Oryzias latipes: one gene and its partner. The protein of the gene in region 2 interacts with the protein of the main gene of each other region in a pairwise test. Links are inferred from orthologs where the notes say so. Each region holds a gene or a part of one and is shown on either strand. Other genes may lie near its edges. The genes, in order: aig1 and rchy1.

What was found.
Region 1: the proteins of rchy1 (region 2) and aig1 interact in binary tests that used the Homo sapiens proteins (3 or more experiments, as listed by UniProt). The link is inferred for Oryzias latipes from reciprocal best matches to the Homo sapiens genes RCHY1 and AIG1.

The regions. Positions count from the first base shown.
Region 1 is NC_019882.2:23,471,672-23,482,352, reverse strand, and holds the end of aig1 (androgen-induced gene 1 protein), read left to right. Parts: intron 1-5,865; coding exon 5,866-5,981; intron 5,982-6,721; coding exon 6,722-6,888; intron 6,889-7,120; coding exon 7,121-7,140; 3' UTR 7,141-7,326; downstream 7,327-10,681. UniProt on the Homo sapiens protein: Hydrolyzes bioactive fatty-acid esters of hydroxy-fatty acids (FAHFAs), but not other major classes of lipids. Show a preference for FAHFAs with branching distal from the carboxylate head group of the lipids.
Region 2 is NC_019867.2:25,249,817-25,261,053, reverse strand, and holds the start of rchy1 (RING finger and CHY zinc finger domain-containing protein 1), read right to left. Parts: upstream 6,820-11,237; 5' UTR 6,726-6,819; coding exon 6,675-6,725; intron 6,258-6,674; coding exon 6,138-6,257; intron 6,038-6,137; coding exon 5,922-6,037; intron 4,545-5,921; coding exon 4,466-4,544; intron 4,373-4,465; coding exon 4,328-4,372; intron 4,231-4,327; coding exon 4,172-4,230; intron 3,195-4,171; coding exon 3,165-3,194; intron 1-3,164. Other genes in the region: nucleolysin TIA-1, read left to right, coding at 8,771-8,796, 9,524-9,620, 9,801-9,899, 10,618-10,672, 10,810-10,897. UniProt on the Homo sapiens protein: E3 ubiquitin-protein ligase that mediates ubiquitination of target proteins, including p53/TP53, TP73, HDAC1 and CDKN1B. Mediates ubiquitination and degradation of p53/TP53; preferentially acts on tetrameric p53/TP53.

The DNA of each region.
Region 1 (10,681 bases), on a different chromosome or scaffold from region 2:
TATTTTTTGTTGCTTTAGCGATTTAGGCCTCCTTCACCTCCATACTCCAGGTTTCCATGTCCGCGATGCGTTCTTCAGCCTCGGCAATCTGGGCTCTGTGCGTTTGGAGAGTTTTATTGTTTGTTGCTAGTTGTTGGTATATTTCTTGTTTTAATTCCTTGATTTCCATCTTGACATCTTCTGTAATTTGCTCCTTCAAGGAGTTCATGTCCTTTTTCATGTCAGCTCTTAGGTCGTGGATTTCCTTGCTAATGGAGTCGAGTCCACAGCGCATGGTTTCAGCTAGCTGGTTAGCTCCAGAGAGTTCGTCTCCGTCTTCTTTGGTTTTATCCACATTTCGTCCTTTCATCTCATCTTGTTTTTTCATTTTTCCTCTGGTTTATACTTCTCCTTTCATTGATCATTTCGCTCTGTTTGTTAATAATGATAATTTTGAGGAGTCTATTTGCTATTTTGTTGGGAGCAGCAAATGGTAAATGGTAAATGGCGTATACTTATATAGCGCTTTCTACCTTCTTACGAAGGCCCAAAGCGCTTTACAGTCACAGTCCCATTCACCCATGCACACACACATTCAGACACTGGCGGCGGCTCCGCTCCACTTGTGCCAACCTCCCACCAGAGGCAAGGTGGGGTTCAGTGTCTTGCCCAAGGACACTTCGACACATGGGCGGGAATCGAACCTGCAATCTTATGATCATGGGTCGACCGCCCTACCGCTGCACCACGGACGCCCGTACACGCCAGCAAATTACACAGGAATCACGTCCGCTTAGTCTGTTTTAATGTTATAAAGTTCTTTTTACAAGCTTTATGCTTTGTGGTTGTTTGTGGTCAAAGCATTCCTCACTTTAGATGAGGTACTGCAAAAAAATGTATAAACTGTTAACAAAGTTAATTAATACATTTATTAAGCTTATAACCAGTTTAGTAATATGGATTTTGAAGACAATGGTCTGACTTTAGATGTTAGTAAATCTTATTAACACTTTCAGGTATTTGCAAGACATCTATAATGCTTATAAATATCTTAGTAGCATCTCACACATTAATAAAGCCTATTATTTGTTAAGTTAGTTAATAAAACTTATGAAGCCTATTAACACTTAGGCTTGCGTGAGACATTTATAATGCTAATAAATGTCATACTAGAACCCCAAACAATAATAATACTTCTTAATTTATTAACAAAGGTTGTTAATAAATGTTATTAAGTTTATTAACACTTACACATTTGTTAGGCACCTATAATGTCAAGAAATGTATCATTAGCATCTTAAAATCATCCTAAAAATAATGCTTGTAAATGTTTTAACTAAGTAATTTAATTAACCTTATTGAGCCGGTTTAGCTCGTGCTGGTTTGCGGCGCCTTCCGTCCGTGAAACCAGGGTTCAAATCCGGGCTGCTCCCTGTTCCCTTCTCTACTTCTGTGCCGGTCCCAAGCCTGTTTGCTTTGAGAAGGTTGCGTCAGGAAGGGCATCCGGCGTAAAACATTGCCAAGTTTACCATGCGACTAGTTCGCTGTGGCGACCCCTGTTGGGAAAAGCCGAAAGAGAAAGAAGAATTTAATTAACCTTATTAGACTTATTGCTAATAAATGTCTTACTAACAGCCTAAAAATTCTATTATAATGCTTTTTAATGTGTTAACAAAGCTTGTTTTTTTTGTTTTTTTTTAACAAAGCTTGTTAAGGAATCTTAATATGAAGTATTACCGGAAACTATAACCTTAACTATGTGAACAAAGTAAACAAAAAAGGTGGAGGAGTCGCAATTTATGTTAAAAAAATACAAAGTTTACAGAAATTGATAAATTGTCAGTTGAAGTAGTTGGAATACTGGAATGCCTTACAATTCAAATATTAAACCAATCAGGGAAAAATGTCATCATAAGCTGTGTTTCTAGGTCGCCAGGGTCAAGCTTAGAAGTGTTCAGTGACTGGATGGAAAAGATGTTTAGCTCTCTAAATAACAAAATATTATACATCTGTGGAGATTTCAATATGGATCTGATAAACCCCAGCAAACATAAAGCCACCGACGACTTTATCAGCAGAATGTATGGAATGAGTTTCTATCCAACCATAACAAGACCCAGCAGAATCACTACTCAAAGTACTACTCTAATTGATAAGATATGTAAGGGTTAATGGCCGACGAAGTGTGGGTTATTACTTTCTTTTTTTTTTTTTTTTTTTTTTTTTAACTTGTCCTGTCCAACAGCTAGGCAGACAGATGAGAGCTGAGGGCCTCTTGTGTTGGACATATTTTACTTTAACAAGAGGGGTTATTAATCTTCTGACAAACCAAAGGTGTGACTGAACAAACCCCTTTTGTAATTGAGGCCAAACTTTATTCATTTCAACCATGATTGAAAATCTTTGGTGTTGGACCGGACGGAAAAGGAAAGAAGGGAAGAAGAGGGAGGGATGTCAGAGGGGGGGGTGATAGTGAGAGGGGGGGGTAAGACCATGAAGCAGCATAGAGCAGACAGGTTTACTGGTTGTTTATCGTTACGGTACAGTTCCAATGTAGTACAAAAAGGGCGGGGCCTGTTCACACACACTCAAATATTATCAACACACCTGCTAGCTGCAAGAAATGTTCACATGTCAACATGAACACAAAACAGATAGTGTTCACACACGCATACTTATGCCTTAAAACCAACTAGTGTGAAATCTTTCATTCATTCAATCATGCAAACTATTAGTGCAAAGGTGAGCTAACACCTGTGCTCAGGTGAGTGTTTATGTTCTTCTAAAATGGATGGTGGAATGTGAAAAGAAGGAGGAGGAGCGCCCAGCCACCCCCACACCCAGACCCCCGCCGCAGCAGCAGCGGCAGCGGCAGCCGGAATTCCCCCAACGCCACACGGGAACAGGCAGGGAACAACCGCCCCCTGGGCGACCAAGACCGCCACCCAGGCCAGGGCCAGCAGGACCGCCGCGTGGCCCCCAGAGCCAGAGAGCAGGGAGGCGCGGAGGGAAAGAGAGCGCCGCCCCAGCCCAGCCAGGAAAGCAGCCCCCCCCCGCCGCGCCGGAAGAGCCCAACGCAGGGCCCCACCGGAGAAGGACGCCCACAGCCCCAGACGAGCACCCCACCACCACCCAGGAGTTCCGGGCATCCCCCCGCCCCAACCCCAGGTACGAGCCAGGACCCCCCAAGGGAGACCCGCTCCGCACTCCAGGCAGCCACCCACCCGGCCCACGGTTGGTCCAGGGAGGAGCAAGGCAGGGGCCCGCCGCCCCCGCCCAGGAGGGGGGAACCCCGGGGAAAAAAGTGTGGCCCACAAGGGGTGTTATAAATATGGCCCGACCAGGCTCGGCCATGTTGGAAGTTTGGCGGGGCCCAGCGCTCAGGGGCAAGGACCAGGACCCAGGGACACGAACACCCCCGGTTCAGGTGTAATATGAACCCCCCCACCGTGCGGAGAGAGCACCGCCGGGCCCAGGGAGCCGGCACCCAAGGGACACGGCCGCCATCGCCAAGGGGCCCGCACCCCCCACCAGGGAAGGGTTAGGGGACAGATGGACCCAGGTCCCCCTCTTCCTTGCAAAATGTGTGTGCGTGTATGTGTGTTTGAGAGGGTGTGTGTGTGCATGTGTGTGTGATTATGTTGGAATGTATATATTGAAGGGGGAGGGGTGTGTGTACTAAGGGGGGTGCAGTTAAAATTGGCGAGTAGGGCACTAAGGGGACATCTCCTGATTACTCACAGTGATGTCCCCCCACCCTCCCCACCAAGGGGCCCTAAATGTCTAAGGTGCGGTTAAAATTGGTGGGTAGGGTGCCAGGAGGACATCTGCTGCTTGCTTGCAGTGATGTCCAAGCACCCCCCCCTACCAAGGACCCTACATGTCTAAGGTGCAAATAAAACCGAAAGAGGGGGGGCCCACTCCATACGGCAACCATAGGAGGGGGGCCACTGCCAAGTAACCCCCCCCCCCCCCCCCCCCAAGGCGCATCGCAGACTAGACCCCCCACCCCCTCACCCTAATATGAGGTTATATGAGGAAGGGGGTAAGTTGGGGACAGCTGGTCGACTGTGCCCCGGTGGTCAAACAGCTGTCCCCCAGCCCCCGCCCCCCCCCCCCCCCCCCCCAGCAAAGGGGCCAGGGCCACCCAGCCCAGGGGCCCCACCCCCGGAGGCGCCGACACCCCAAGCCCGGCACCACCCACCCCACACAGAGAGAGAGGAGCCAGAAAGCGTCGCCCCCCCCCCCCGGAGCAAGCCCAGGCCCCCACCCCCAGACGCCGGCCCTAGAGGAGCTCTGGTCAGGCCTTGGCGGGACCGAGGAGGCCAACCGGCCGAGGCAACCACTGATTGCCTCAGCGGAGACCCCGACCCGCTAGCCCCCCCGATCCGTACCAATAATGCCCCCCCCCCTCCCCCCCAGAACGCCCCCCCACAGGACAGGGCCGACAAGCCCCCCACCCCACACCACCCCGGACCCCCAGACCCCTTTCTAACGCACGCCGTGGAAGCCTATTGCTTCCGCAAAGTGCGTTAAAAAGTAATAATGCACACTTTGAAGGCCATTAACCCACTTATACCATGGTCACTTACAAAAGTAATACATATTAACCAGTTTTTAGTCCTTTATTCTTGTTTTTTCCCCGATTTGGATCGCTTTTCTCACAAAAGGCGGACTATTTGTTACGTGATGCGGCGCATAGATGTTACTCATTATGTAACGTCTAAATAAGCTCTGTGCTTGGAGCGGAACAACTGGACCCAAACGGCCACCGTAGCCGGTCGTCACATGATGTAAACAGATTAGGAAAGTAGCAACCAAGCCACAGACAAATGTAAAGCAACAATTGTCATATTTTTGAAGAGGAAAAAGGAGTCCAACTGTTTATTTGTTAGAATGTTTATTTTAACACGGCTGAAAACGTTTCTTACATGCTTTTTGGTGTCTCGTTATGAGGCATGCACCCTGTGCTGCTGTGACATCACCCTAAAAGCTACCTCGTAGTTCCTTAACAAGACAATGCCATAAAACCACAACAGATTAACCGGAGACAGGTCCATGGTTTTTTTTGCACGGTGGCGCAGTGGTTAGCGCTCTTGCCTCACAGCAAGAAGGCCTCCGGTTCAAGTCCCGGCTGGGGGACATGAAAAAACTACATCAACAGGGGACCTTTCTGTGTGGAGTTTGCATGTTCTCCCCGTGCATGAGTGGGTTTTCTCCGGGATCTCCGGCTTCCTCCCACCGTCCAAAAACATGCTACAAAGGTTGATTGGCAACTCTAAATTGTCCATAGGTGTGAGTGTGAGAGTGAATGGATGTGTGATTGAGGATATTCTACCCTGCGACAGACTGGCGACCAGTCCAGGGCATCCCTTGCCTACGCCCAAGTGGCCGGGATAGACTCCGGCAACCCGGTGACCCTGAAAGGGAATAAACGGTTAAGAAGATGAAAAAAAAGATCCATGGTTTGTCTCATTTTTTATTTTATTTTTCAGCTTTCTGCAAGGAAAACTAGTAGCTCTTCAGTGTGAGTTTTGCCGCGCCGTGGGTGGGAGTAGTGGGGCGATGGGGGGGTAGAGGTGGAGCACCAGGAGGGAGGGGTGTGGCACCTGTCACATTAAATTAGATGAAAAGGGTCTCCAGTTTGGGGGGAGGGGGGGGGCACACCTGTTACCAGTCAAAGTTTGATTTTCTCTCTGATGTCTTTGAGTCACTGGCTTTCCTCTACTGACTGCTTCCTGTTTGTTCTGTGTTCCTCGGCTTATGCTCACCTTTTGGATCTGCTTTGCTGACTGTTTGTCTTTGTTTGTAGTGAAGTTTGCCAACAGAAACCACTTCTACTGTGTTTTCTGAAAAATCCTTCTCCATTTCCCCTTCTCCTCCCAGCATACCACCGTTCTGCCTTTTGTTATCATCGAGATGAGGACGACTCACCACAAGTATCCCAGAAGGCTGTGGGGTCTGGTGGCAGTATGTGTCTTCAGCATGGCCTACATCAGCTGGTAAGGAGTTTCTTCCACATTTCCACCCAGAAGCCAGGACTGGATGATCACATTTACTGAAGTGAAGTCTGCTGCACTTTACTGTTTTGTTGTTCCTCACACTGTTGTGAAAAATGCTGAAATTGAGTTCACATGTAAATGTCCAACTGGTGCATCTAATGCAGTGTTTCCAAAGCCTGGTCTTAAGGCCACTGTCCATGCTTCCTTCTCAAACACACTTTATGTAGCCTATCATCCACCAATGCAGAGACCTTAAAGCAGCCATTGTGAGGATTGTGAATTTCTGTTTGGTTTTCGTCATGATCTGTTTTGAGTTGTCCCACAGTCACACCAGTTTTAGCTTTGCCACGATTCACAGCTGTCTTCATTTCAGTTAATTGCCCTCAGTCTGTTCAAGTGGTTTTCAGTTCTTACTTGTCAGGTCATCTGTTCTGTTCTAGTCTGCTTTGTCACCCTTTTTGATGCTCCCATGGTTTTGTCATGTTTTAGTTTATGTATCAAATGTTTTAGTTTCTGTCACCAAACCTGGTCTCCTGCATTTTTGGTGGTTCTACACCACCAGTTCCTGACGTGTTTGGGCTGCATAACAAGGAGAACCTGAGAACCAAGGTTCACAAACACTGAGCTGTGTTTGTGATGTGATCCAGACTATTTCATAATTTTAGTTTAACATGCAACCACCCCCACCACCACTAACAAGTCTGTATGAAACACTGACACAGAGCTATGTCTGCTTTCAGGACCTGCTGGGTGCACCATGTGACTGGTGTGTGGGTGTACCCAGTTCTGGAGCGCGTCTCCTCCATTGCTCGAGCTGCTTTCTTCGGGACCATGACACTATTGATCTTCATTCTCTACGTCCTGGGGGAGATCCTCAACAGCTACATTTGGGAACAGCCACAAAAAGGCATGCATATGGCAACAGCAGCAGAGACTGGCTGAGCTTTAAGTTCAAAGAACATACACGTGCATAAACACGCACATGTACAAAGACATTCAGACACACACACAGGTCTGCAAGTAACCTAAAATCTTTGTCTTGTTAGATTTTATGGACAGTGTAAAACAAGAACATATCAATCACACTTTGCTCGTTTTGCAGTGTCTTATTTTTCATTTTTCTTTTGTGTCTTTTACAGAAAAGGTTAAAGATGAGTGAAGCCTCCCCGAAAGCAACAAAGGAAGACAAGTTTCGCCCACTCGGGACTGCAAGAACAAAGCCAAATGTGCAAGATGTTTATAATCCAAAAAACTAAAACAGAAAAAGAACTGTTTTTTTCTCCAGGAGTCTCTGCATCAACATAAATACATGTTGTAAGCGCATAAATACAATGGGGAAAAAATATTTGATTCTCTAATGATATTTTCATATTGAATCTGCATGCTGTCTAAAGATTAGAAAAGTATCCAATGCTCATAGATACACTGTCAGAGACAGAATTTTAAAAGAATCCAGGAAATCACATTCTTTGATTTTTAAAGAATTTATTCTTATAATAGTGCAGAAAATAGGTATTTATCTCCTAAAACCTAACAAGAACCGACAACAAGCTTCTCACAGACCTATTGCTTATTCTTTTAAGTCCCACGCCAATCATCTTTTGATCTATTTTAAATTTGTTCCTAGAGGTCTTTTAATTATGATTGTGACGTTTTTAGCCTAAATTAGAAAAAACTGTTGTTGCTTTTCATCAGTTATTGCGGAGCGGTAGTAGTTCATTAGAAATCAGAGTTGTAGGCAGAAAGTAAGCCCGCCCCTACTTCAGTCCCTCACACTCCTTAGGCTAAAATTTGTGGTGCAACAAAAATGGCGAGCAATATTGGAACTACCCAGCCAGCCAGTTTTGAGCTAGATGCAGCTCAGACAACAAAATGGAAGACGTACATGGATCAGTTGGTCTGACAGTGGATGCATCTGAATGGAGCAGGGCAGAGAGCTTGTGACTCGCGGTTGTAGCTACTACGTCACAGCTACGAGCTTTTCGAAATGGCATTTTTTCGTCTGCTCCTGATTGTCAACAATTTGAACAAAGAAATATCCTGAAATAGGTTTTCAAGCTCAACATTTTCTTTATGTGTGTCCTACATTATTTTTTATTTTTATTTTTTTTATACACTGTATTTTATCCCACGAAGGGAAATTCTGTCTCCGCATTTGACCCATCCCCCTGGGGAGCGGTGAGCTGCAGCCGAAACCGCGCTCGGGAGGCAGTAGCGTTAAGGGTCTTGCCTAAGGACCCTCACTGGGTGATGTTAACTGCTCGCCATTGATATGGTATTTGCCCCCAGTACCATTGCTCATTCCCCTCCGGGAATCAAACCCTGGTTTCCTGCATGGTAGCTTCCCACCTTACCAACCGAGCTACCCAGCCGCAATTTTTTATCCCCCTTCGTGGGATAAAAAATACATTATGAGAAAAATGCCACAAAAACCTGTTAAAATGACCAGAAACACAATTTCCATTTGCATGGGTCTTTAAAGACCCATTCAATCTGTCCCGTGTTATCTCTATAAATGGCCCCTGTCTACACTTAAAGGGCCTATACCATGCAAAATCTTTTTTTGAGCTTTTAAGTGTAATGTTAATTCCTCACTAAAAACAACCCCAAAGTAGTATTTTGATCCATTCACGGATTTCTGAGTTTTCCTCTAAAAACCTGCTCTCTGAGCACCAGGCCCCCCCGTCCATGAAAATGAGTTCTCACGAGCTGACCAGTCAGAAAACAGCACCTTCCAGAAAGAGTCTGCACTGCCAGCACCGCCCCCAGGCTAACTGACACACCCACTTTCTCCATGGAGCTGGTGGTGATCAGCTAAACACGTTCCTTCTACATGCACAATGTGCACATTCATCTTTGCAAAAGTTCAGATGTTGTTGGTTTTCATGGACAAAAACGCAGACATGTTGCCAAGGCCGACTCTAGCACTGGGTGGCACCCACAAGGACAGAAAGGGGAGCCTTAGAGATTGAGGAGTCCTTGGGGACAGCTGTTTGACCACCGGGGGACAGTCTACCAGCTGTCCCCAACTTGCCCCCTTCCTCATATAACCACATATTAGGGTGAGGGGGTGGGGGGTTTAGCCTGCGATACGCCTTGGGGGGGGGGGGGGGGGGCTACTTGGCAGTGGTCCCCCTCCCATGGTTGCCGTATGGAGTGGGCCCCCCCTCTTTCGGTTTTATTTGCACCTTAGACATGTAGGGCCCTTGGTAGGGGGGGTGCTTGGACATCACTGCCAGCAAGCAGCAGATGTCGTCCTAGCACCCTACCCGCCAATTTTAACTGCACCTTAGACATTTAGGGCCCCTTGGTGGGGAGGGTGAGTGGACATCACTGTGAGTAATCAGGAGATGTCCCCTCAGTGCCCTACCCGCCAATTTTAACTGCACCCCCCTTAGTACACACACCCGTCCCCCCTCAAAATATACATTCCAACACAAACACACACACATGCACACACATTTTGCAAGGAAGGTGGGACTTAGGACCATCTGTCCCCTACCCCTTCCCTGGTGGGGGGTACGGGGCCCTTGGCAACGGCGGCCGTGTCCCCTCCTGGGCCCGGCAGTGCTCTCTCCGCGCAGGGAGAGGGTTCACATTACACCTGAGCCGGTGGTTCTGGTCCTTGCCCCTGAGCGCTGGGCCTCGCAAAATTTCCAACTGTGGCCGAGCCTGGTCGGGCCATGTTTACAACACCCCTTGTGGGCCCCCCTTTTCCCCGGGGTGCTCCCCTCCTAGGCGGGGGCGGCTGGCCCCTGCCTTGCTCCTCCTTGGACCAACCGTGGGCCGGGTGGGTGGCTGCCTGGAGTGCGGAGCATGTGGACATTTTTGCAGCTAGCAGGTGTGTTGATAACATTTGAGTGTGTGTGTGGACAGGCCCCGCCCTTTTTATACTACATTTGAACCTTACCGTAATGATAAACAACCAGTAAACTTGTTGCTTTATGCTGCTTCATGGTCTTATCCCCCCCTCCTATTATCACCCTCCTACCCCCTCCCCCCCCCCCTCTCTCTAACATCCCCCTCTCTTCTTCCCTTCTTTCCTTTTCCGTCCGGTCCAACACCAAAGATTTTCAAACATGATTGAAATTAATAAAGTTGGCCTCAATTACAAAAGGGGTTTATTCAGTTTACTATGAAATGCTTAAGAAAAGCATGATAAAGGCCCTTCAAAGAGTCACACTGCAACCTCTCCTGCCGTGACCAAGACCAAAGAGCTGTCTAAGGAACCGGGGACAAGAGCATATACCTATCAAGATTGGCACGGACTACCGTAATATACAAGAAGCAACAACTTGGTGAGCAGAGATAAAATGTTGGAGGAATTATGAGAAAAGGAAAAAAACAAAAAACAATCTCTCTCCACCTGAAGCTCCATGCAAGATCTCATCTGGTGGGGTACAAATTATCTAGAGAACAACACGGAAATAGGGTAGAGGCTTCGTTAATTGTCAGAATTAACAAAGCCTCTTGGATAAGAAGTGAAACGTCTTCTAACTTTAAAAACTAAGTCCAGATGACAGCCCCTAAACCTACTACTACGATGTTCTTGCCTATCCAAATTTATTCAAGTTATAAACTGACCAATCAGTGGCTTCAGTAAAAGAAGGAAGTAAAAAATGCAACGGATTGTTGATGTGTAGAGGTCAATCAAATATGCAAGCCCCCACTGACCAAAGATACTTTCATTGAATCCACAA
Region 2 (11,237 bases):
AAGGTTTAGGTTTTGGTTACGGCGGCGCATCTTACGGGTTACGGCAGCACACCGCTCCCGTCCCGCGGGAGTCGGGTCAGCTGAGGAGAATAAATGTCCCTCACGTACATGCGTGACAGCTAACGGGGCTTGAACTTTAAACACGCTCGAGCAAAAACAACATTAGTTTTAGACACACTGAAAATACGTGGTGAAAATGCAACGATAGACGTGTTTGAGATGAACCGGCACCTCGCCTGGATTGTTGGGGAGACCAGGCGGGGGGGGGGGGGGGGGGGGGGGGGGGTCTGTGAGATGAAGGTGAATCTGCAGCAAGACTGAAGGACAACAGTTGGAGTTGTCCTTAACATTCAATTTAGTTTTAATATTCTTCTCCCCCTTAGTATGATCTGTGTTATTATATATTTTATGATTATTTTAATGTTTTTTGTAATGTATGTAGCCTTTTTTAATGAATTGGTATTTTAAATTATTTTAATTAATCACTCAACTACAAAAACCATCAGGACACATGTCCCATAATGCATTGTTTTGTAGTCTGTCAGTCAGTTCAGTTTCCAGCTGTGTCCGGGTAGGTTTGCCCCTTTCTCCCACCCCTTTCTTGCGATATTTTGTGATAATTGACAGTTAATATTGGAGCAAAAACAAAAATATATGTCACACACCAGGGGCCTGTTTCACAAAGGAGGTTAAGTGTAAACTCTGAGTTCATAAACCCGGAAATCAGGGAAACCCTGGGTTTTCCGTTTCAGAATCGGAGGTTTGTCAAACCAGAGAAAGCAGAGTAAGTCAAACCCGTTTCTGAAAGAGAGTTAACTTTTACTCGGAGTCAGTATCCATGGTTACTTATGCTGTGAACCTAACCTGGTCGGGAGCAGGTTTTATTCTCCAAACTCGAAGTTTTTGCCGGTCCCCTCCCCTTTTTAAAGACGAAGCACTATATTTGGCTTCAACCTTCATTGCCCACATTTCCGTCACGCGATCTAAGTGACAAGAATGGCTTGTCCTTTTTTGGAGGACCCAATAGATGAGGAGGCTGCATTAATTCGTAGAGAATTACATTTACGTCGTACGAGGATTTTGAGACCTCGACTCGATGTTTTGTCATTTCCCCATACGTTTTTGTTTGAGCGTTACCGTTTTTCGTTGCAGTCAATTACATATACAAAATGAAAACAACATTAGGTCTTGCTATGTAGATGTTTCATATGTCAAATATTGTCAACAAAGCCTACATCCATGACATGCTCACATTTGACCTGATTGAATTATGTTTTTATACTTCATTTTTAGCTGCTGCCATGTTTCTTTTAATTCCTGCAGGATTGCATCTACATGAAAATGAAATCAGGGACATTGAATTAGATTAATGTAACAATTACTTTTTGGAAACACAATTTTCTAGCACTGCTTACTTTCTTAATCCCATATAAACCTATACCACTTGATCAATACAGGGGTAGTGTTGCAGCGTGTGTGTGCTGAGCGGGGTGCAATCCACGAGAGACAAGGGGAGGGGCGATTGCAGGTGCAGATGGGGGGGGGTGGGGTGAGCACGGATGAGGAGGACGGAGAAGGTGTCATTCCCAGAATAACTGTTTTGGAGTCATTCTTATTCCGCTCTGGAGGTTGAGGGTTTCCAACGGGAAGTGAACCCCGAAGGAGAATTCCCTTCAGCCCTGAAGGAAATCTCCCCTGCGCTTTTGACCACGGTCGGAAAGACGAGAGAAAAGAAGGAAGTCTTTGCGCAGCGAAAGGTTCAACAGTAGACAAAAGTTCACTTTTAAAAACACAATTGCATGTATTAATATTAAAATGACCAACGTTTGCTAGAGGGGAAGGTTAACAAAAAAGTCCTCTAAACATTACCGACGTTAAATGCATTTTCCCCCAGATTGGTTCTGTACACTATGCAGCATTTCATGCATTTACACCAGGAATAACACTTCAAAAGTACTCCTAAATATCACCATTTTTTATTTCACACCTTACGCTATTTAAAAAGTTATTACAGTCAATATTTATAACAATGATTTAAATGCAAACTTAGGCATTAACTTGAGCAGCTATGTTTTCCCACGCTAACTGTCTCTGTTTTGCAGATGCAGCGGTGTTGCTTTTCTTCTGGAATATGTTCTCATATTCACTGCAACTCTGCAGCAGCACGTCAAGTTCAGCTGGCGAAAAATACGCAGACCTCTTTGTTTTCACGGTTGCCATGGTGACTCGTGATATCTGCGCTCCATTGATAATGGCTTCTTATAGACGCGGTGCGCACGCTCACCTCCGAATCAGTCCACTCAGAGTTGATTGATCTAACGCGGATCAGCTGCTCTGAAACTGAAAACTCAGAGTTGTCAATCTCTCGATTGACCAACTCAGAGTTCAGGTTTGACCTCAGAGTTGGTTGAACCTCCTTTGTGAAACAGGCCCCAGGTGATCTGCGCAGCGTTGAGTTCACCTGGGTGATCTCAAACACGCTTATTGTGCATCTTGGCTGCACCTATTTGGTGTCACCAAGATAAATTTCCATCTGTTTTCTTAACTATTTGTACTGTCATGACAGCGATGGTGCTGTCAGTTTACCTTGTTGTTGCATCTTCAAAAGTGCAGAATAAAATGTGACACTGAATTTAAAACAGCACATTTTAATTTCTGCATCTATTATAAAAGTATTTATTAGTAATACAGTGGAAATTAGTAGATTTGGTTAGAATGTTGATTTACGTTATGCGCCCCTAAATTTTCTGGTTGTGCCCCTAAAATTTTCAGTTGGGGGCCACTGTGCTCCTAGTGAAAAAAGTTAGTCTGGAGCCCTGTCTTGAGTTCAAATATCTCATTAATGTTTTTTGTTTTTTAATAATGCCTCAATGATCAAATATTTTAATGCTATAATACATTTAAAGAAATAATAATTGTAAACTTTTATTTTGTTTTTTTCCATCTTACTGATCCAAAAAATGATCCGAAGTGTGACTCTAAAACTGTGACATTATCCGAACCGGGCATTTTGGGATCTGTTGCACCCCTACTGTTCACCACTATGTCATTTATTTATTTTTTACCATTTTCCAATAAGAAACCAGATTCAGAAAGAAAACTGGATTTAAACATGAAAAAAAAACCAAAACAAATTCCAGCAGATAAAAGTTTATTACACTCACCCTGTTTTGACCATGTCATCGAAGCAAGTCCTGTCAAGAAAACCAAAGACAAGAGGTCAAGATGGAACCGCTTGACTTAACCACAGATGTTTTTAATCTGAAGACACCAGTCTTGATGACACAGGCTGTAGTTTAGAGCTCAGGAAGTAATGTTGTAAGAAAATCAAAGTATATGAACCCTTTGGGCTTTCCTGCAGTTTTATCTAACTTGAAAAGACAAACAAATGATTAGAACAGAAAATTACAATCTGCCCAAACTAATACCACACAGGCATTTAGTCTTTTCTGCTTTTATCAAACACAATATGTAAACATTCACAGAACAAATAGCTTGTTAAGCAAATGCTTTTAAACCTCTTTTGGGAGCCATGACCTTAACCAAATCTAACCTCATCCCATTGAGTGGACTCCAGGTTTCCCATCTCCTGGTCTGATTAGTTCTTGGAGAAGTAATTATGGGTTCACATACTTTTCTCACAGACTATTGTGAATATATATTTTTTTGTTCAATAAAAGCACCTGTCTGTGTTTAGTTTAGAGAGACTGTTCTGTTTCTATTGTTGGAGGTGAAGACAAGAACAAACCGTCTGTCTGATTCTTGCACAAACCCATAATATCCAAAAGCTTCGGGTACTTTTTCTTACATCTGTTTACTACTCACATTCGTCAAGTGATAAACACATTTAAAATGCAAAAAAAAAGTTTCTAATATATGTCAGTAGCACAAATACAGCAAAGTTTTTTTGCTGTTTACAGTCATCTCAAAGTAAAAAGCACATTTTCGATAAAAAATAAATTTATATTTTCTGGATTTATTACTTTTCAAAAGAGTTGACAAGTTTTTTAGACACTTCAACTCATTGGTGGTGTTAATTTGTGTGCTTCTAAAAGGAAATCTGTTTAAAGTATTTATAAAATAGCTTGAAATCATTGCAGCTCGTCTGTAAACTGTTATTTGCAGTTAACACACATAAACCTAAGCCAACAGAAAAGAAAAGTCGCCTCACTTGTGTAAAAGATGGCCACATGGAAGGACATGAGCACCGATCCTGGACGTGTGAATATCCTTTTGACAAAGAGAAAACAAACAAAAAAAAAACAGTTGGGCTCAAATAAAGACGAAAATCCAATATTAGTTTTACATGTACTTTAAGGTTTCATACCTCCATACAAACCGGACAGTTCTGCCTAGAGACATTTTCGACACACTGAAAGTAATCAAAAAAAACCAAAGTCAGTAAAACAAAGTGAGAACTTCTTCCATTAGAGTGAATCAGAAGGAGGTGAATAATCATAATCACTCTGTGGTTTCCTCTCAGATCCTGGGCCAGACACAAATTGCACTTGTCACAATGGAAGTACTTCTCACTGGGTCCAATCCTGCCAATACCAGAACACACATAGTTTACTCATCTGTTAGTGGGTAACTGGATAAAAAAGAAAAAATGAACTATTATTAGGGGTTTAAAGATTAATTTTAACAATTTGATTCATATCAGAATTTGTGGTTGCTGATATGATTCATAGGTGATATCGTTTCATTTTGAACGAACTGATTCACTGACCTAAAACTCCATCCAGGACATTTTTTATGGAGGGAAATTGGGAACAGCATAAACTGAATGAAAACCCATTTTGTAAATTTGAAGAGAAGGAAAACTTGAAAACTGTATTAAGACTTGAAAGTACATTTTGTATACTTCAAGGAATTATTAAAAATTTGAAAAAAAACAAACAAAGAAATTATGACTTTGACCAAAACAAAGTTGAAAGAATTATTGAAAATTTGTCAAAAAAGTAAATTTGACTTTTAAAAAACAACTTTAAACCTGAAAATTATGTTTATTTCTAACAGCAGCCTTTTTTTCTTTTCAACGTCTGTTTTTTTTTTTGGTTCTTCCCCTCTTTGCTTTTAGACCTCAGTTAAAATTTTCAATCCAGACTTTTCGCTGCTGACCCTAATTTTACATGGCGTGGGCTTTGCCTGTTCATGGCGCTGCCTGCATCGTTCCTCCTCTGATGTACCAAACTTTAGGAGAATATTATCACTACCGGTGGTGTTCCTTCGCTATATTTCGCTGTCTCGCTGTTTTATTGATTCTTTTTCACTGTGACTTGTTGGTTTTGTCAATCAGCCTCTTCTGTGGTGTCTCTTCTAGGGATGGGCGGTTATAATTTTTTCCAGCCGATACCGATAACTCACGTTTCCCCTGCAACTGTTTAGATTTCCTGTTTGTTTCTTCATTAGAAATGCACAACTTTTCTTTTACCAGACAATCCCATTGTACTTGAGCTTTTTAACATACAGCAAAAGAATTAGGATCAAGTATAGATTTTTAAAAATAAAGTGTTTCTGAAAACAGCCAGAACAACATCGATCGATAAATCCAAAGCATGCAAATATCTTCAGATACAGAGAAAGACAGAGATTTTTTTCAATAGATATTATGGGTATGTTTCATTTTTCAACAGTTTCATAGTGGTTTAAGTCGATTTGTTGCCTCAGACAGATCGATCTTGTTGGATATTAGGAATATAAATTGATTCACTGATTAAGTCGATCAGTCGCTACACCTCTAATTATTAGACAAAATCCTAACTTTCTCCTGAGACCACCAGTGTGTGAATGAATGTGTGCATGGGTGAATGGGATTGTGACTAAAGCGCTACGGCCCTGAAGAAGGTAGAAAAGCGCCATATAAGTATACGCCATTTAGTAAACCGTTGATGAGTGTTTGCCGTTAATGACACATTTACCTGCATATTCCACAGGGCTGGCAGTGGTACTGCTTCTTATCCTTGTCAAACAAATGGCAGATGTCACAGTAATATTCCCCAAACTGTAACTGACACTGCTGACATGTTTTTTGGGCCTAGAGAAGCATGCACAAACAGGACACATTTAGGGTAACGTGCATAAAAATAAAAAGTCATCAACTACAGCTGGTGGTTTATTTTATTTATGCAACTTACCTGCTGCAAGGTGTTACACTTGGAGCACTGCACCTCTCTGACTTTGAAGCGATCCATCGGGTGGTTCTCCTGAGCATCATGGCACAGACGACACACGTACAGTTTCCCACAGCACGGCGCCTGGAGTTCACAAAAACACGCAAACGTTAGGGGAACATCAACATCTGGATGGGGTTTAACTGGTAGGCATCTCAGGAAACGTTAAAGAAATGTCGGTTAACAATTATATAACGATGTGGCAATGTGCGGCTGAGGAACACAAGCAGCAGCAGAGCAGTAGTCGCAAAATCATAAACTTAATATGAAGTGTATATCCTTTAAACAAAACACATGGAACCCATTAACTTCGACGTCCTGCCAATATCTTAAAGTGGACATGAGCTCCATCTGTCAAAACTGTCATAACGCTCCGGACAAACGGTGACTGGGTCTGCCACTACAGTTGTTGTTGAGTTAGCCCCCTGGCCTGTCCGTCCTTTGTTTCATTTTACGCTAGCATACAGCTTTGCTTCCGCTGAGGCTACAACGGGTACTCACTTTTAACAAACAACCGCGTACGTAATGTTCACAACCGACAGGTGAAGCCATGCTGTCTCCAAACCCAAGCTTCTCGAAGTGTCCGTTGCCACGAAGGCGAGAAGGTTGCTCGCTTCTTCTTCTTCGTTGGACGTTTTTTTAAAAGTTTTTTTTAAATATATATACAGCGGGTGGCAAACAACAGAACGGCGCATTACCGCCACCTTCTGGTCTGGGATGTGAGTTTATTACCGTAGCGTCTGTCAATAGATAACTGTATGCTGTATATGTCCTCCTCAAGATAATTTATATTTTAAAATATATTTCCCTTGAATGTATTATTTATATTCAAGGGAAATAAAGAAGCTTTCCTACTAAATTTGATCTAGAACTAAAAAGAAAAAGTCTGTCCAACTAAAACGTCTTTGTATCGTGTGTAAAATTTATTAAAACACAACAGAAATTGGCAATGATGAATAAAAAAGAATGAAGTGGTTTAAGTATTGATGGTTCTGCAAACTAATCAAGAGTTTGTAAGACTGACGTTTTTCATTGTTTTGGCTGTTAGTGCAGCATCTTTTGTGTACTTTTAGAAGGCCTCTTAAATGTGAAAATAAGCAGACTTTTATTTCTTCAAACATATTTTTAGAACCGTATTGGTTAAGGGACATTTATTCTATTTTTTTTTCTTGTACTGAACAATTTTTTGTTGTGGAAAACTCAGACAATGTTGACTGTTCCCTATATATATTTTATGTTACCAAAATAAAAGCACTGTAAATTTGCTTGGGTAAAAGCAACTTATACGAGATACAGTTATACTAAACATTGTGATAATTAAATAAACAGAATTTTTTCAATTTTATTACAATGAAAGATGTATTAATATTTAGGTAGAGTTTTTTCTAAGTCATACTTTTTAAAAAAAGAAAATGTGTACAATGTGGTAATCTCCCTATATTATTGCTTTATTTCTGTAAAGTTAGGGCATCAGTGATGAAACCCTCAAGTGGTTGCAGAACTTGCAGAGACAACCACTGAAGTCCCAAGATGTGGTGTCAAAAGGGCTGGCAAGAAAGTATTTTCAGTAGTTCAAGAGATTTAATTAAAACAATGTTTTGATGTTTATATTGCTGTAAAAGCAGAAACAATGATGTTATCAAAAGACTGAAATGAATAAGTCAGTGTTAAGGGGAAAATGAAGGTGAAAGCAAACACGCCTTTAGATTTCTCCTTAATTGTACCTCAATTTTTTGTTTTAAATTAAATTCTAACCTGATATTTATTACAACAAGAATACTTTGCTTCTAGAAAATCCCACAAACCTCGTTTACACCCAAGTTGTTTGATATATTCTACATGGGGAAGCATATACTTAGAATATGTATGAAAAAGTCAGCAATTATTCCTGTGAGTTCACGAGTAGAAAAGTAATTTTTTGTTTCCAATATTTCCCATCAAAGACTTTTCTTCCACCTCATTTTTGCCTAGGTATATCTTTATCAGTACGTCCGGTAATCACACGTAGCGCCGCTGGTGTAGTGGTATCATGCAAGATTCCCATTCTTGCGACCCGGGTTCGATTCCCGGGCGGCGCACTGCCGTTTTGTTTATTTTGGCTTGCTTTTCGTTTAGTTGGTTTAGTTAGTTCGTTTCGCAAACTGTAGAAAAACGTAAAAAAAAAAAAGAAAAAAAAATGGTGCAATAACTCCATAACTGTGTTGCAGTACATTCTCTTAAAATTTCCAGTTTTTCTGATTTAAATTAAACGATTAGTTAAATATTTATCGGTCTACACAAAAAAGATGTGGTTTGTTGAAGTCTACCAATTCTTATGGTCATTTTTCTGGTGTGAGAGAATGTTCTTGATGTTGGCAGCATTTTAGCGCGCAGCGAGGTTGACGCTTCTGACGCCATTCCTCCGCCATCTTCAACTTCCTATTGTTTGCTTCAGACTGAGGCTCTCTGTGGTGTGTGTGGAACCAAAATCGCCCACAGACTAATCATTAAATTGTACATATTTATTTTTTATGTTTAGGTTAACTTACGTTTAACATAAATTATTCGTATGTTATTGGACTAAAAGCCTCTCCGGACGCGACCACTACACCTTGACGATGGAAGACGATCAACCTAGAACCTTGTGAGTGAAGCGGCTGTGTCTATGTCCAGGAATGTAATGGCTTCGTCTATTCACCGTGCTTCTCAGACGTTTCCACATTATTTAAATTAAAACTCTGCCACACAATGAGTAATAATGTCTTTAAAAAACAGTCGGTAGTTTTTCTGTTAGTCCAGGTAATTGTGATTACATTGAACAAATATTCTTGTCCTACTAACAAAAACTTAGATTTGAAAATGCGGAACTGTAACTCGCATGGAAATATATTTAGCTAGCTAGTCCCCGGTTATCATTAGCTGAATATGTAAACCATTGCACATATTTTCTTCATCTTTTTGTAATAACAATTATGCTCGCTATAGCAATTAAATGTGGTATTCGTTATTTACATTGTGACGAATGGGTCTTGTTTCACAAAGCACGGCTTTGCTGCTAAAGCGAGCTCGAGTCGAGGCCCTTCAAACCGGTTAGCGACGTTTTTTAGCTAGCTTTAAAAGTGAGCCACGTCAACGGACTCGATCTACACGGGACACCCCCGCTGAGAAGGGGGGCGCACATAACTTGCTTGTGTACAGTCTTGTCTTGTGCACCCTATTCTGTAATGTATGGGCCTCCTTCGCCATATTATTCCCCCCAATTATATTACCCGTATTTGATAGTTAGTGTGGTTGTTGCTAGCCCGGCATAGAACCCTTTGTTTGTATGCCACTTCCTGTTTGAAGTCGCTTATTTCTCTCGTTCCTCGTAGATACGTGGGGAATCTGTCCAGGGATGTCACAGAGCCTCTCATTCTGCAGGTCTTTACACAGATAGGACCCTGCAAGAGCTGTAAAATGATTGTTGATGTAAGTGTTGGTTTTTCAACTGCAAATGTCCTGATCTGGAGACACACAGGAACATTTATGTGAACATTACCTGAAATATTCTTGTCATTTTAATCTGACACACCGGGCATTAGTGCTTAGGTCTTCTCATCGGTAGGGATTGAAGTGTTGACCTGAGATGTGTTGGTTTCCTGTTAACAGACGGCAGGAAATGATCCATACTGTTTTGTGGAGTTCTATGACCACAGGCATGCTGCTGCTTCACTGGCAGCCATGAATGGAAGGAAAATAATGGGTAAGGTAAGCTATCGTATCTACAGGGTGAGTGGGGATGGGAAATGAATCTTTTGATTTAAAAAATACATGAATTTGTCTGCTTAAGCACTTAAATTATTTTTTTTATCAGACACTGGGTTTGTTTTGTGTAAAACCTACCGACATGTTTCGGCGGAATGCCTTCCACCTTCGTCAGGGTCGTCCCATGTCGGTAGGTTTTACACAAAACAAACCCAGTGTCTGATAAAAAAATAATTTAAGTGCTTAATAGAACTTATAGACACAATGAACTTCATTGAATCAATTTGTCTGCTTACTTGAGTATTCTGTTGACTTAACTGGTTAAAAATCACAGGAATTGTAAAGAACAAAGTACCGTAAGATAGAATATATTTTTAAGTCCTTTAAGGTGTCTGTTATTTAGGTTCTTCTGTTTGTCTGTTTTTAGCCTGAATGTAAAAAAAAACCCAACAAGATTAAATAAGCATATCTGCAATTCTTCTGCATGGGATAAAAATAGGATTTTATAATAATTAAAAACCAGATAAATTTACATGAACTAGATAATGTTCCTTGATTACAATGTCGGTGGACTGCATTATTACAAACGTTTAATTTATTAATTTGGGTGGGCAGCCCAGTTCAAATACTTTAGTTTAAAAACATGTTAATAGTTGAGGTTTTTTAATGATGTAAACATACCCCCCACCTGGTCTGTTTTTTCTTCTGCCATTGTCTGCAGGAGGTCAAAGTTAACTGGGCCACAACACCAACCAGCCAGAAAAAAGACACGAGTAGTAAGTTTAACAAGTATTCCTTCACCAATGCAGGAAGTGAATTCTACAGCACATTGTCTTTACTTAAAAGAGATCATTCAAACCGTGGAAACTAAGTTTAATAGCAGATTAATTGTTTTTTTTTTCCCCCTCAATAGATCATTTTCATGTTTTCGTTGGAGACCTTAGTCCAGAAATCACCACAGAAGATGTTAAAGCTGCCTTTGCCCCATTTGGAAGGATATCGTAAGTGACAAGACTGAACAGTCTGTGCTCTTTGTAAAGCACAGAAAATAGTTAGCCAACATTTAATACAAAGCAAATGTTATTTTCTGAAGGCTAGCCTGAAAGTGTGCTTTTCATTCTTTACTGTGTTCTCTTGATCTTTAACAAATACAAGTACTTTGCAATTATGTCAAGTCAGTTTTTGACAGTAGAACTATTAACTTAAGTATTTAAATGTTTGCTCTGCTCATTGAGGTAGATCTTTCCTGAATGGAAAATGCTTGTTTCCTTTTATCCACTGAAAAAAAAAATAGAAACAAAAAAAACCGACCCTGTAAAAAGAAAGGGTTGTCAGTGGAAA